Linked DNA regions of Notamacropus eugenii. The protein of the gene in region 1 interacts with the protein of each later gene in a pairwise test. Links are inferred from orthologs where the notes say so. Each region holds a gene or a part of one and is shown in the gene's direction. Other genes may lie near its edges. The genes, in order: SH3GL2, ATXN2 and EGFL6.

The links.
Region 2: the proteins of SH3GL2 (region 1) and ATXN2 interact in binary tests that used the Homo sapiens proteins (3 or more experiments, as listed by UniProt). The link is inferred for Notamacropus eugenii from reciprocal best matches to the Homo sapiens genes SH3GL2 and ATXN2.
Region 3: the proteins of SH3GL2 (region 1) and EGFL6 interact in a two-hybrid assay, tested with the Homo sapiens proteins (2 studies listed by BioGRID and IntAct). The link is inferred for Notamacropus eugenii from reciprocal best matches to the Homo sapiens genes SH3GL2 and EGFL6.

The regions. Positions count from the first base shown.
Region 1 is NC_092872.1:25,533,517-25,537,264, reverse strand, and holds the start of SH3GL2 (endophilin-A1), read left to right. Parts: upstream 1-1,433; 5' UTR 1,434-1,496; coding exon 1,497-1,587; intron 1,588-2,901; exon of another isoform or gene 2,902-3,252; intron 3,253-3,748. UniProt on the Homo sapiens protein: Implicated in synaptic vesicle endocytosis. May recruit other proteins to membranes with high curvature. Required for BDNF-dependent dendrite outgrowth.
Region 2 is NC_092875.1:34,612,641-34,616,388, forward strand, and holds the start of ATXN2 (ataxin-2), read left to right. Parts: upstream 1-856; 5' UTR 857-1,208; coding exon 1,209-1,486; intron 1,487-3,748. UniProt on the Homo sapiens protein: Involved in EGFR trafficking, acting as negative regulator of endocytic EGFR internalization at the plasma membrane.
Region 3 is NC_092876.1:377,419,243-377,422,990, reverse strand, and holds the start of EGFL6 (epidermal growth factor-like protein 6), read left to right. Parts: upstream 1-1,203; 5' UTR 1,204-1,565; coding exon 1,566-1,642; intron 1,643-3,748.

The DNA.
Region 1 (3,748 bases):
TGTGCCAGGGCATTTGCTGATACAACTTTGTATGTGCCCTTGAGAGAGTACATTTCAATTTAGGAAGATGTTTGTACTATCTGTTCTAACTAAATTACCTTATTTCCCCTTTCTAAGGTTAATTAAGTCTGACTGACTAATGGATGTTAGCTGATAATCAGTGGGAAAGTACACTGGTTGGGGCTTGTGAGCTATAGCACTACAAAGACACTCCTAGCCCCCTCAGTTTCTCCTAGAACCTTGAAGGGAGAAACAGCAGCTCCCCTTGGGCTACTCAGACAGCTAGTGTGAATGGCGGTTGGGAGGGTGGCTCTACCTAGAGCATGTGCTTGTCCCAATACAAAGTTAAGATAGTTCTGACCCTCAAGCTGACAAACGGATGCATATCCAAATATCTACAGCTGGTGAGAACAGGGAATGCCCTCATCACCACTCACCTCTTAATTAGTTGATGGAAATGCCTGCCCTTTTTTTATGTCTGTGAAATGAGAGTAGATAATGAGTGAGATCTGAGGGGGCTCTCCTATGAGTTAAATGCTTGGATGTTGGGACATCTATTTTGTCAATGAAGAGACTTTTCTTTTAAAGTTTCCCTCAGTGTGTCACCAATTACAGCCAGCTGTTGCCAAGAAGAACAAAGTGGGTGGCAGCAGTGGGACCTTTGGGCTGACTGGACTTCAGAAGAATTTGGGGAGGGGCTGGTCAGGCTGGCCAGCTATGAAAACACCCAATCAATCACAGAAGTTTGAGCATGGTGTGCTTGAGAGGGCACTGGAACTTACCTTCATGCTGCTGCAGTCCATTCTCCAGCCTTACTTCCCATTGGGTTGGGATCCTCATCTCAGAACTCATTTTCATTCCAGGTGACCTCTCTGACTGGTAGCTCCAGGATCTGACTTCGTCTTGCTAGTTAGTGATTATGGCTTGTTTGCTGGATGGTCAGCTGGATGGTCCTCAATCTAGGGCAAGAACTTCTTAGCCACAGTCTTCCTCTGGTTGTTAAAGGCTGTTAGCAAAGCACCCAGACAGAGAAGCTGAAACCAAGGAGCTGGGTCAAGGGCAACATCCCATTTTCCTCTTTTTTTGAGCATTTTCTAGCTGGGCAAAGTTGTCAGGTAAGTGGCACTGTGGATAGAATGGGGACTTGAGGCTCAAGGGATAGGGCCTAAACCTTTGATTTTGTTGATGTGGGGAGCTATCTATGAGATACCACTCCCTCTACCAGCATTGTCTTCATTGTCATTTATAGTTTAGAGATTTGTCTAGACTTCACAGGGAGGTTAAATAACTCACCAAAAGCCACACAGTCAGTATTTGTCATATCTATCTGAATTTGAGAGAAAAAAGCCAGTGTTGTAAAATGGAGGTCTTTAATTGGAGCAAATGAGTTGCAGCTTGGGGGTCACAAAATACGTGTTGGAGTACTGGTGAAGGGGGCTGGGAACATGGTTAATACGGGATACTAAGGCAGAGGGAACTGCCTGCCTGCAGCTTGGATGGAGATTTACAAAATACGCAGTCTGGGAGAGATTTCTGGTCATCTCCAGGCAATTCATTGGCCTGGGAACGGGGACAAGGTCAGCTTCTGTAAGTTCATAGTCAAGTGTGTTTGTCTGTCTGTCTGAAGCACTGTCTGTCTGCTTCAGACGGATTTTGATTTAAACAATAACCTCCCAGAAACAATCATGGGCAAATCACTCAACCTCTTTGAGCCTCACCTCACGTAAGCTTCCCTACCTGAATGGAAATTCCTTGTGAACAGGAATATTTTCACTTAGTGTATTTGTTTCCTCAGCATCTACTACAGGCCCTGACGCATACTGTCGTTCCTTTTTGATAAATTCTAATTGATTGATTCATCTGTAAAATAGGCACAAAGATAGCTGCATAACTGAAAGTATGTTAGAAACTTTAAAGCGTTATAGAAATGCCAGTTACACTTTTGCTATGTTGGCCCACCATTTGGAGTTTAATCCACGTTTAAAATATTTTTAAAATGTGGTGTTCATAAAGAAAATATATTTTCTGCTCTTTATTGATTATATTTGGTAGCATTATCAAACCTCCATCCACTAGGAAGCTTCTGATGGGTTTTGTGGGTCACAGGTTCTCTTCATTTGAGGATTTCCTATAAGCCTGCAGCAATAAAGTTTAAAGTATTTCTGTTCATAACTGTTGAGCCTAATATGAGTTATCTGAGCAAGTTTGGTTCCCCCCCCCCCCCACGTTGTTATTTACTTATTTTAACTGCTTATTTGAGGGAAGAAGAATCTTTGAAGAGTAAAGCTTCCAAAGAGTAATTCTCAAGGTAGCCTCTAGATGGCAGGCTTTAATAAAGAATGGTTACATTTTAGCATCCTTGGCTCTCCAAACATTTAAACTGCTTGGTTTGCAAATTCTCACTTTTGAATTTCCAGTGTTTATGTTTTCAGAGCCCCCTTGTGTTTCTTAGAGATCTTGTCCCACAGTCTGTTCTGGCTTTCTTGTTTCCCTGTGACACGACCTCTGTGGAGTGGTTCCTGTTCCTTTACGGTTTAGATTAATTAGCCTCCCCCCCGCCCCCCCCCCATTCTGAGATTCTGTGCTAGGAAGTGCACTTCTTAGACAAATTAGCAAGATGGGACAAAAAGTGCAGGATGTCTCAATTATTTACTAGAAATTCAAGGTTCTGAAGAGTCTCATTGTCTTCTCTGACTAAGAGCAGATCTGAAAGACTTGTGGTTGCTTAGGTTCCAACGCAGAGAATCTGAGATGGGGACACAGAGGGCAAGTGAGGGGAGAAGTAGGGCCTCTGGATTCCAAGCCTTGTCATGTTTTAGTACATCATACATCATCTCCAAATAAGTAGAGGCAGCATCTCATTTTTTGAAAGTGTTACAGAATCATTATGTTTATACTTACGCACTGAGCCTTCACTGAGGCATATTCTGATGCCTCATCGTGGTGAGCAGGTAACTGGTTCTCAAAGGCTGTTAGCAAAGCACAAACCTGGAGGTTCTCCTATGCTAGAAAGGCTTCAGGTACAGTTACAGCAGCACAATATATGTTGCTATCTAAAGGCTATCTAGTTCAGTACTCATTACTACTCAGGGTAGCCAATTAATGGTGAATTCTTTGACCTTGAACATTCATAACAGGGAAAAATACAAAAGAACCTTTTGAACTGTGAGCCCTGCCTCTCCTCCTTTTGCTACTATGAAAAGAGGGTAGAGGGTGCTTTGAATTATACAGGTGGGTTGGTTGGTTGTTTTTAAATTTTTTCAAGTTAGGTGTCTCCCTGCCTCACCTTAATTGGAAAGTGCTGTGGCTGCTCATGGGATCTATCCCACTACTAATTGGCACAGGAACTTTGACTTGTACTATTTCCAACCTGGGAAGTTTCACTTCTTCTTAGGCTGCCTGGTGCTTCACCCTTGCAGGGGTGTTCAGCCTGTTGGTGTTGGACTTAATGCAGATACGTGATCGACTTTAGCCTTACTGCAGCTCAGAGCTCCCAAACTCAAGTGATCCACCACTCTGGGGCTCCTTGGCAGCAGGGATTATGGGTGTTTGCCACTGTGCTCAATCCTACAGTTTTTAGATTGTCTATGAACGTTAACTTAACTGGTGATACTTTAAATACGGTATCCTTTCCAGTGAGAGAACATATATACTTCTCACCAAAACTGAACCCCCCCCCCCAATACAACAAAACAAAGCATAAAAGCTGCCGCTAAGTAGAAGGAGGGCCCCTAGGTTTTCCTTGAAG
Region 2 (3,748 bases), on another chromosome or scaffold:
TTTGGCGGCTGGTATTTTGTACCCTTAGCACTAGGGTTCGATTAATAAATGTTCAGACGTTCTTTGGACCCCAGCTCTTAGAAAGGGCCTGGCACAGGGTAGGCACTTCCTAAACTTGATGACGGACCTTCTTCGGACCAGCAGGCGCTGACTCAGGAGGCCTGGCCCCCGCGGCCCCCTGCGGAGAGGGGCGCAGCCCCACGGGGATGCTCCTAGTTATTACACTGGAGGGCAGCCAGGGGTACAAGGACTCAAGGACTCGCTATCTCTCGGGGTGACCTTGGCCAGGGGCTGCCTTTCTCCTTAACTGGAATACGGAATATAGGCTTGGCCTCCAGGTCTTCACCTGGGTTTCCCCTTGGGGTCCCCCGCTTCTCCCTCCCGTCAGGATTCTCCCTCCTCAGACGGGTGGCCTGTAACCCCCAGCCCGGGCTCGGGGTCGGGCGGCGAGAGTCCGGCCCCTTCCCTGAGCTCGGGCTCGCGTCCGAGAGGCGGGGCCTGTTACGGCCCCGCCCCCTCTGGCACCGCCCCTTCTGAGACTGCCGGCCGGTCCGCGGGAGCCCCACGTGCGGCCCTCCAGCTCTTGCTTCAGCTCCGGCCGCAGTGCCGTCTCACGCTCCCCTTCCTGTCCGGCCCCTCCGACTTCCGGAAAAGAATCCCCTCCGTCCGACCTCCCTGGACCACTCCCCACACCTGCTTTCGGGGAACATCCCCTCCTCCGCTCTTTCCTCCTATAGTGTGACCGGCCTTTGGGTTCAGGAGAGGGGTGTCTCCTTTTGAGGGTCGGCAGACAAGGGAGCGAGCAAGCGCGCGCGGTCGGAGGAGGTATCCTTCCGCCGCCGCTTGTTCCCAGGCGTCCCCCGCGTTCCGTTCGCGGCAGGTCCCCTCCGGGCCCCCGTCCCCCTCCCCCCTCCCGGCCGGTCCTTCCCTCCTCCCTCCTCCCTCCGCCCGCCTTAGACTGTTTTGGTAGCAACGGCGGCGGCGGCTCCCGGCAACTCGGTGTCGTCGGTCGGTCGGGCGGCCTTCCCCGCCCCCGACCCTCCCCACCCCGCCCCCTCCCTTCCCTCGGGCTCGGGCTCGCGGCCGCCGGCTCCTCCTCCTCGGTCTCGACCTCGGCCTCGGCCTCCTCCTGCTCCGCGGCCCCGGCCTCGCTTCTCGTCAGGCGCCCGGGCCCGGCTCGGCCCTCGGTGTATGGGCAGGTCAGCAGCATGTCCCTGAAGCCGCAGCCCCCCCAGCAGCCGCCGCAGCCTCCGCAGCCTCAGCCTCCGCAGCAACCGCAGCCGCCGCCGGCCCCGGCGCTGCCCCCGGCCCAGGCCCAGGCCCAGCCCCCGGCTCAGGCCCAGCCCCCCGCGCCCGGAGCCCTGGCGGCGGCGCCCGGGGGCGCCCGCAAGCCCGGCGGCCTCACGTCCTCGGCCTCCTCGACCTCGGCCTCCTCATCGTCGGCGGCCGGTGGCGGCGCCGGTGGAGGGCGGCAGAACCTGGGCAGGTGGGTGCGGGGGACCCCCGGCGGGCTGGGGAGGGGGGCATCCCTGGGCGGGCGGGGGGGATGGGCCGGGCCCGCGGGGTAGCGGGAGCCGCAGGAGGAGGGGGCGGCCGGGACCCGGCCGTCCTGCCCCGCAGTGGGGGAGGGGGACCGGTCACCTCGAAAACGCCCCGCGGCCGCACGGGCCGCAGCTCCTTGCCGTCGTGGCCCCGCGGCCCGAGCCTCCCAAGGGCACCGGGGCCCCTGGGTGGCGCCTGGTCATCCCGGGCCTACTGTCCCGACCGAACCTTTGGGAGACGTGTTGGCCTGGCCGCGAAGGGAGAGGGCCCCGGGGTGGGTCGGCCCGGCCCTGGCTCAGCTCGGAAAGCCAGACGGGCCCCTGGGTGGCCGAGGGACTGCAGTGGGCTCTCTTTTCCTTGGCCCTACCCAGTTATCTCTTTAACCCTTCCGGGGGAAAAAAGGACAAACCTTGAGCCCTTCGATGTTTGGGGAGCTCCGTTTAAAGGGAGGTTTACCCCGTTATTGAAACAAGAAAGCCAGTCCAAATGAATGAGGCCGTAGCTATTCCGAGGGTGATTGTGAACGCTTTTTAAACTTCGGGAAAGTCGGGCGCAGGTATTTAAAAGTTTCCAAATACTATCCAAATAGCAGACATTTCCTTATATCCCTTCCTAGGTAGCCGATTAAAAATCAGTCTGCTGCATTAGGGGGGTCGGTCTGGCGGAATATTTATAAACAGACCGGGTGGGAGAGTGGGGAGAGCCCCCGTGCCCGCGTCAGGACGTGGCCTGTGGGGGCTTGGACCAGATGACCTCAAAGCTGGCGTCCAGCTCCAGGGTTCTGTTAGGTCGCCGGTCTGACGGCCTGGGTGAAGTGGGAGGGCCACAGGGGTGGGGTGAAGGGGAGGGGGGGACCAGCGGAGTGCCACGGATTCCTTCCTACGGTCGGGAGGTTTTCTCTTAGCAGAGTTTAATGCTGTTTCCCCCACTAGGGCCTTTGTCGTAAGAGCCTTCGTTTGGCCCCTCATTGCTGTAAGCTAGTTTTTGATTTCTCCTTGCTTAAGAGTCCTTCGGTCCCCATCCTTTCAAGAACTGCATAAGATTTCTTTTGGAACATGTTGTCCCGGGGTTTGTATCATGTGAATTTATATCCTTGCTGCCGACCTCTTATTAATACTTTTAGAATCACCTTCACTTTCAGTATTATCTGAGTCCTTTTGTGAGGCTAGAAATAAAATCAAATTTCCTAGGGCTGTTTGGCTACCCCTATTTCATCTGAGTTGGAGATAAAAGTGGGTAAGACTGCACCGTAGTGAAAAAGATCACCAAAGTTTGACCTTTATGCATAGTAAGTAAAAAGACAAAGTGCAACATTAGTACATTATAGTGTTTTCTGTGAAAATGAGAACCTCATTTTCAGAAAAAAGGTTTTTTTGTTTTTAATTAAAACGGCTTTAATTTCTACTGTAGTTTGTTTCTTCACAGCACAATATGCTATGCACACAGTAGACTCTTAAATGTCCCTTTTATTGTTGTCTGAGACTCCTGTTCTGCTGACTACAGTTGTGCACATAAAAGGTGGCCTCTCTTTAGTGTGAATTTTGAGTAGTTTGCAGAATCCCTTAGGGGGTAATTTCAAAACAGAAAAATACAATCAGAATGATTATTTGAGTACTTACTGATACGTTCAGAATTAAGTGCTTTTGCCTATTATCCGGTTCCATATTTTTTTTTAATTAAAATTTTGATGCCTTTTGTGTTTCCATCAGTCGTTTCCCACATTTAATCTTTGCCTCCCCCTCATCACCCCCTTTCTATGTTGCTAAGAACCAAAGGACACAGTAACTACTTGTTACGGGATATTCAGCATTCTGCAGTCTGAGTCTCCCACCTTCAGGGGAATCAGTTAGTATTGCTCAGCACCTGCTGTGAGCCACGCTCTGGGGATATGAAGAAGGTGAAAGCCAGCCCCTGCTCTTACGGTTCTCAGTCAGATGGAGACTACAAGCAAGTAGCTGTGTACAAACAAGATGTATGCAGGGTAAATTGGAGATGATCTCCAGAGGGAAGACGTGGTGATTAAGGAGGTCTGCAAAAGACTTTTTGCAGAAGTTGAGACTTTCAGCTGAGGATGGGAAGCCAGGAGGTGGATGTGAGGAAGAGCATTCCAGGCATGGGGGATAGCCAGGGAAAATGCTCATAGTCTGTAGATTGGGGAGTAGAGGGGGGTGTCCTGAAAGGAGCAGCCAGGAGGCTGCTGCCACTG
Region 3 (3,748 bases), on another chromosome or scaffold:
TAATTTAGCTTCATTTCCTAAGGTATACCTTTTCCCCCTCCCTGGGCAGCTAGGTGGTGCAGTGCATAGAGTGGTGGGTCTGAAGTCAGGAAAACTCATCTGCTTGAGTTCAAATCTGGCCTTGGACACTTACTAGCTGGGTGACCTTGGGCAAGTCACTTAACCCTGTTTGCCTCAGTTTCCTCATCTGTAAAATGAGCTGGAGAAGGAAATGGCAAACCACACCAGCCAAGATACCTCAAAAGGTGTAATGAAAAGTCAGTCTGACAGGATTGAAATGAATGAACAATAAGCCACTCCCCATCTCTATCAGAAGCAGTTAGGTGGCACAGTGTGTAGAATGCTGTGCTTGGGGTCAGGAAATCCCAGGATGGAATTCTGTTTCACATACTTACTAGTGGTGTGACTTTGGGTAAATCATTTGACCTCTCTCAGCCTCAGTTTCCTCATGATAAAAACGAGCATTATAATATCACCTATCCCTTACAGAGTTGTGAGGATCAAATGACACAATGTATGTAGAGTGTTTTCAAAACATAAAAGTGCTATATAGCTATTATTACCCAATGCCCTGTCCCTTATTGTAAGCTTTTTTTTGGAGGGGGGGGGAGGCAGTTCCACAAAATTAACCAGCACATCCACAGAGAATGACATTATATGTGATGTTACATATGCATAGTTCCCCACCTTTACAAAGAACAGGTTCATTCCCTCATCTCTTCTGTATAAAGCTAGCCTACCATTTATTTTTACTCTTAATCCATCGTGTTATCTGCTTGTTTCTGCTTGTAAATTCCAAGAGATCCAATGGAAATCCTTTGAAAGGAAGGATAGTTTTGTGTAGACTGAAAGATGGTGGTAATGCGATCCAATCGTTTTCTCAGTGCATGGCCTCTTTCCCCAACTAAAATATAAATGCTACAGGACAGTTGATTTTGTGCTATATGTACATATACGAGAGGCTTAGTGTGCGCGCTTAGCACACTATTGGGAACAAGGTGTGCCCTTGTGTTGGTTAAAATGAACTAAACTGAATTGAATTGAATCGAATTGAATTGGACAAGGCTGGTAAGCAGCAAAGAAGGAAAGCACCTTCTAGAGAGAGATGATCGATTATCTGCGAGAGGCGGATCCCAGCCCCAAAGTCTGTAGCCCGCCCTCCTCTCTCACTCACCCCCTCCCCTTTTTCCTATTCCTCAGAAGCGTGGAGAGGACTGGAGGCTGCGGAGTGTGGGGTTCTCTCCCTGTTTTCTGCTGTCCTTACTCCACCTCGGCTGGTGGTCCCGACAGCGCCCCAGCCCCCGGGCTCCGACTCCCCCTTCCCTGCCTGGGGAGGGGCTCCAGCTGCTGGACCTCCAGGGCCGTCCGTCTAGCCAGCTCTGTCGTGCGGCGCCGGTTCGGGAGGAGCAGAGACGTTCTGGTGCCTCTGTCCCTGCGGCCACAGTGCAGAGCATCGCGATCTGGACGTGGAGAAGAAAAAAGAAGGGACTGCGTGGGCTTCCCTGACCACCCTTCCCCGCCTCCTGGCCCGGTGCCCCAGCCCCGTCCTCCACCGCGTCTCCAAGATGCGGGCATCCTGGTGCCTGGGACTGTCCTTCCTGCTCCCCTTGGTTGCAGGTGGTTTTGTTAACACGGCAGCCAGGTGAGTGTGTGTCTACCCAGAAATGGGCTTCGGCGTCCTGAGTTTGCTTTCTTTATTCGGTTCTTTTGTTCCCTTCTAGCTCCCTACCATTTTTTTTTCTTTCTTGCGTCTTTGGAAGTAACCAGTCTGGGAGGGTCCTCGAGTGAATGTCCATTGTCATTTCTTCCTGGGGTCATGTGGTGTTTCTTTCTCTCCTCAGACTCATTCCAATCATTCTCCAGTTCCCTCATTTTCAAAAGGATGCTCTTCACACGAGGAATGTGACGGTTCTGGCGGTATTCAGGGAGACCTGTCTACTGTCTGTAATTCAGAGGACTAGCGTGTGTTTAATTTGTGCTGTTTCATCCTTTATTCAACTGAGCAAAGGCATTGATCAGTTGTTAGTATCTGGTTTGGCGGGGGAGGGACAGGAGAAACTGAGACACCACGCTGATGACCTTTAAGGATTTTTGAGGAAGCAAGCAGACAACTTGTTACCTATATCTTTGATGCTCCTTTGATATCCCTGACCAAACACACTCACACACACACACACACACACACACACACACACACACACACACTTCTGTTCAGCATAATTGCCAGAATTAATATAAAGCCACTGCCCTGGGAACTCAAAATTGGGTAGGTTGACTTAATGACCACAGGTGTTTCCAACCCTAGAAACTTAGGGGAGACCATAAATCTAGAAGCCATCTAGTTCACAGATAAAAGATACTCAGATCTGGCAAGGTTTGAACCCAAGCCCTCTGAATCTGGAATCAATTTTCGTCCTCCTCTCTGCCACATTAGTTCCCAATGCACTATGAAGAGGACTGGACTTGAAATCAAAACTATAGCTTGCAGAATTTGACATAGATTCTCCTTAAGGTACCCTGGAGGTTGCATACTTGGCACATAAGCTTTGAGGGGTTTTTTTTCCATTCAATTCCACTGTAGTAACACAGAGATTCTTAAGTCCTGGTAGAAATTCATGAATTCATGAGTAGAAAGAACATTGGACTCAATGATGGGAAAGTAGAAAGGGAAGAACTTGGATCCAGATACCAGCTACACAATACTTATTAGCCTTGTGACCTTACAGCAGTCACTTAGCCATTTAAGACCTTTAAAAAAAAAAAAGAGTTGGACTAGATGACCTCAAAGGTCCTCTTCCATACATTTGTATGATCCATTTATTCATTTAATAATAATTAGATGCTCTTTTAAGAACTGTGGAAACCAGCATTTATAAGTACCTACTGTGTTTTACACATATTATTTAATTTGATCTCACAACAACCCTAAGAGATAGACATTTTTTATCCCTATTTTACAGTTGAAGAAACTAAGGCAACCAAATGTTAAATGACTTGCCCAGAGCCACACAGCTAGTAAATGTCTAAAGCAGGATTTGAACTCAGGTCTTCTGGACTGTAGACTCAGCACCCTAGGCCCCGTACCACTTAGCTATCTTTTAAATAAAAGGCAAACTATGTTGTTAGAATATTGACTACAGCTTTCTATGACAAAAATATTGACAGACATAGTTTTCATTTAATCTTCAAAAAGAAAAATTTTGTACATGTGTCACTCCAAGGTATGATGGATGATAAATGCTATCTTTGAAGTGAATTAATAGAGTTCCAGGGTTTCACTTTCAAAGTGCTGCTAAATTAAGTTAAAAGCCATAAAACCTCCAAATCAACTAGAGAATATTAAAATGGAGAATCCATGTCAAATTCTACAAGATACAGTTTTCAAGGATGTAAAGTGGATTTATTTGCTTAGTATCAAGTTCACAAGCTGGTATGTTCAGTATCAGCAAGTGGAAGTATCCCTGTTCCAACATGCTTAGAGCTGTCAAGCAATGGTCACCAGCTTTTCAGGAACTGCACAAGGGACCAGATTTTATAAACTCCAGACCTAAAGTGATGGAAAACACATTGACATAGAAGGCAAAGCTGTCTTTGCAGAGAGTTGCTACAAGTTGATTATTTCTTGAGGTTTCACACATTGTATCGCAAACTTCTTCTGCTACATGAAGATGATATTGAGTGTATATTATTTCCATGAAACCTTTCACCATAAATTAGGTGACCTTTTGAGTTATAAGCTGAAGACATT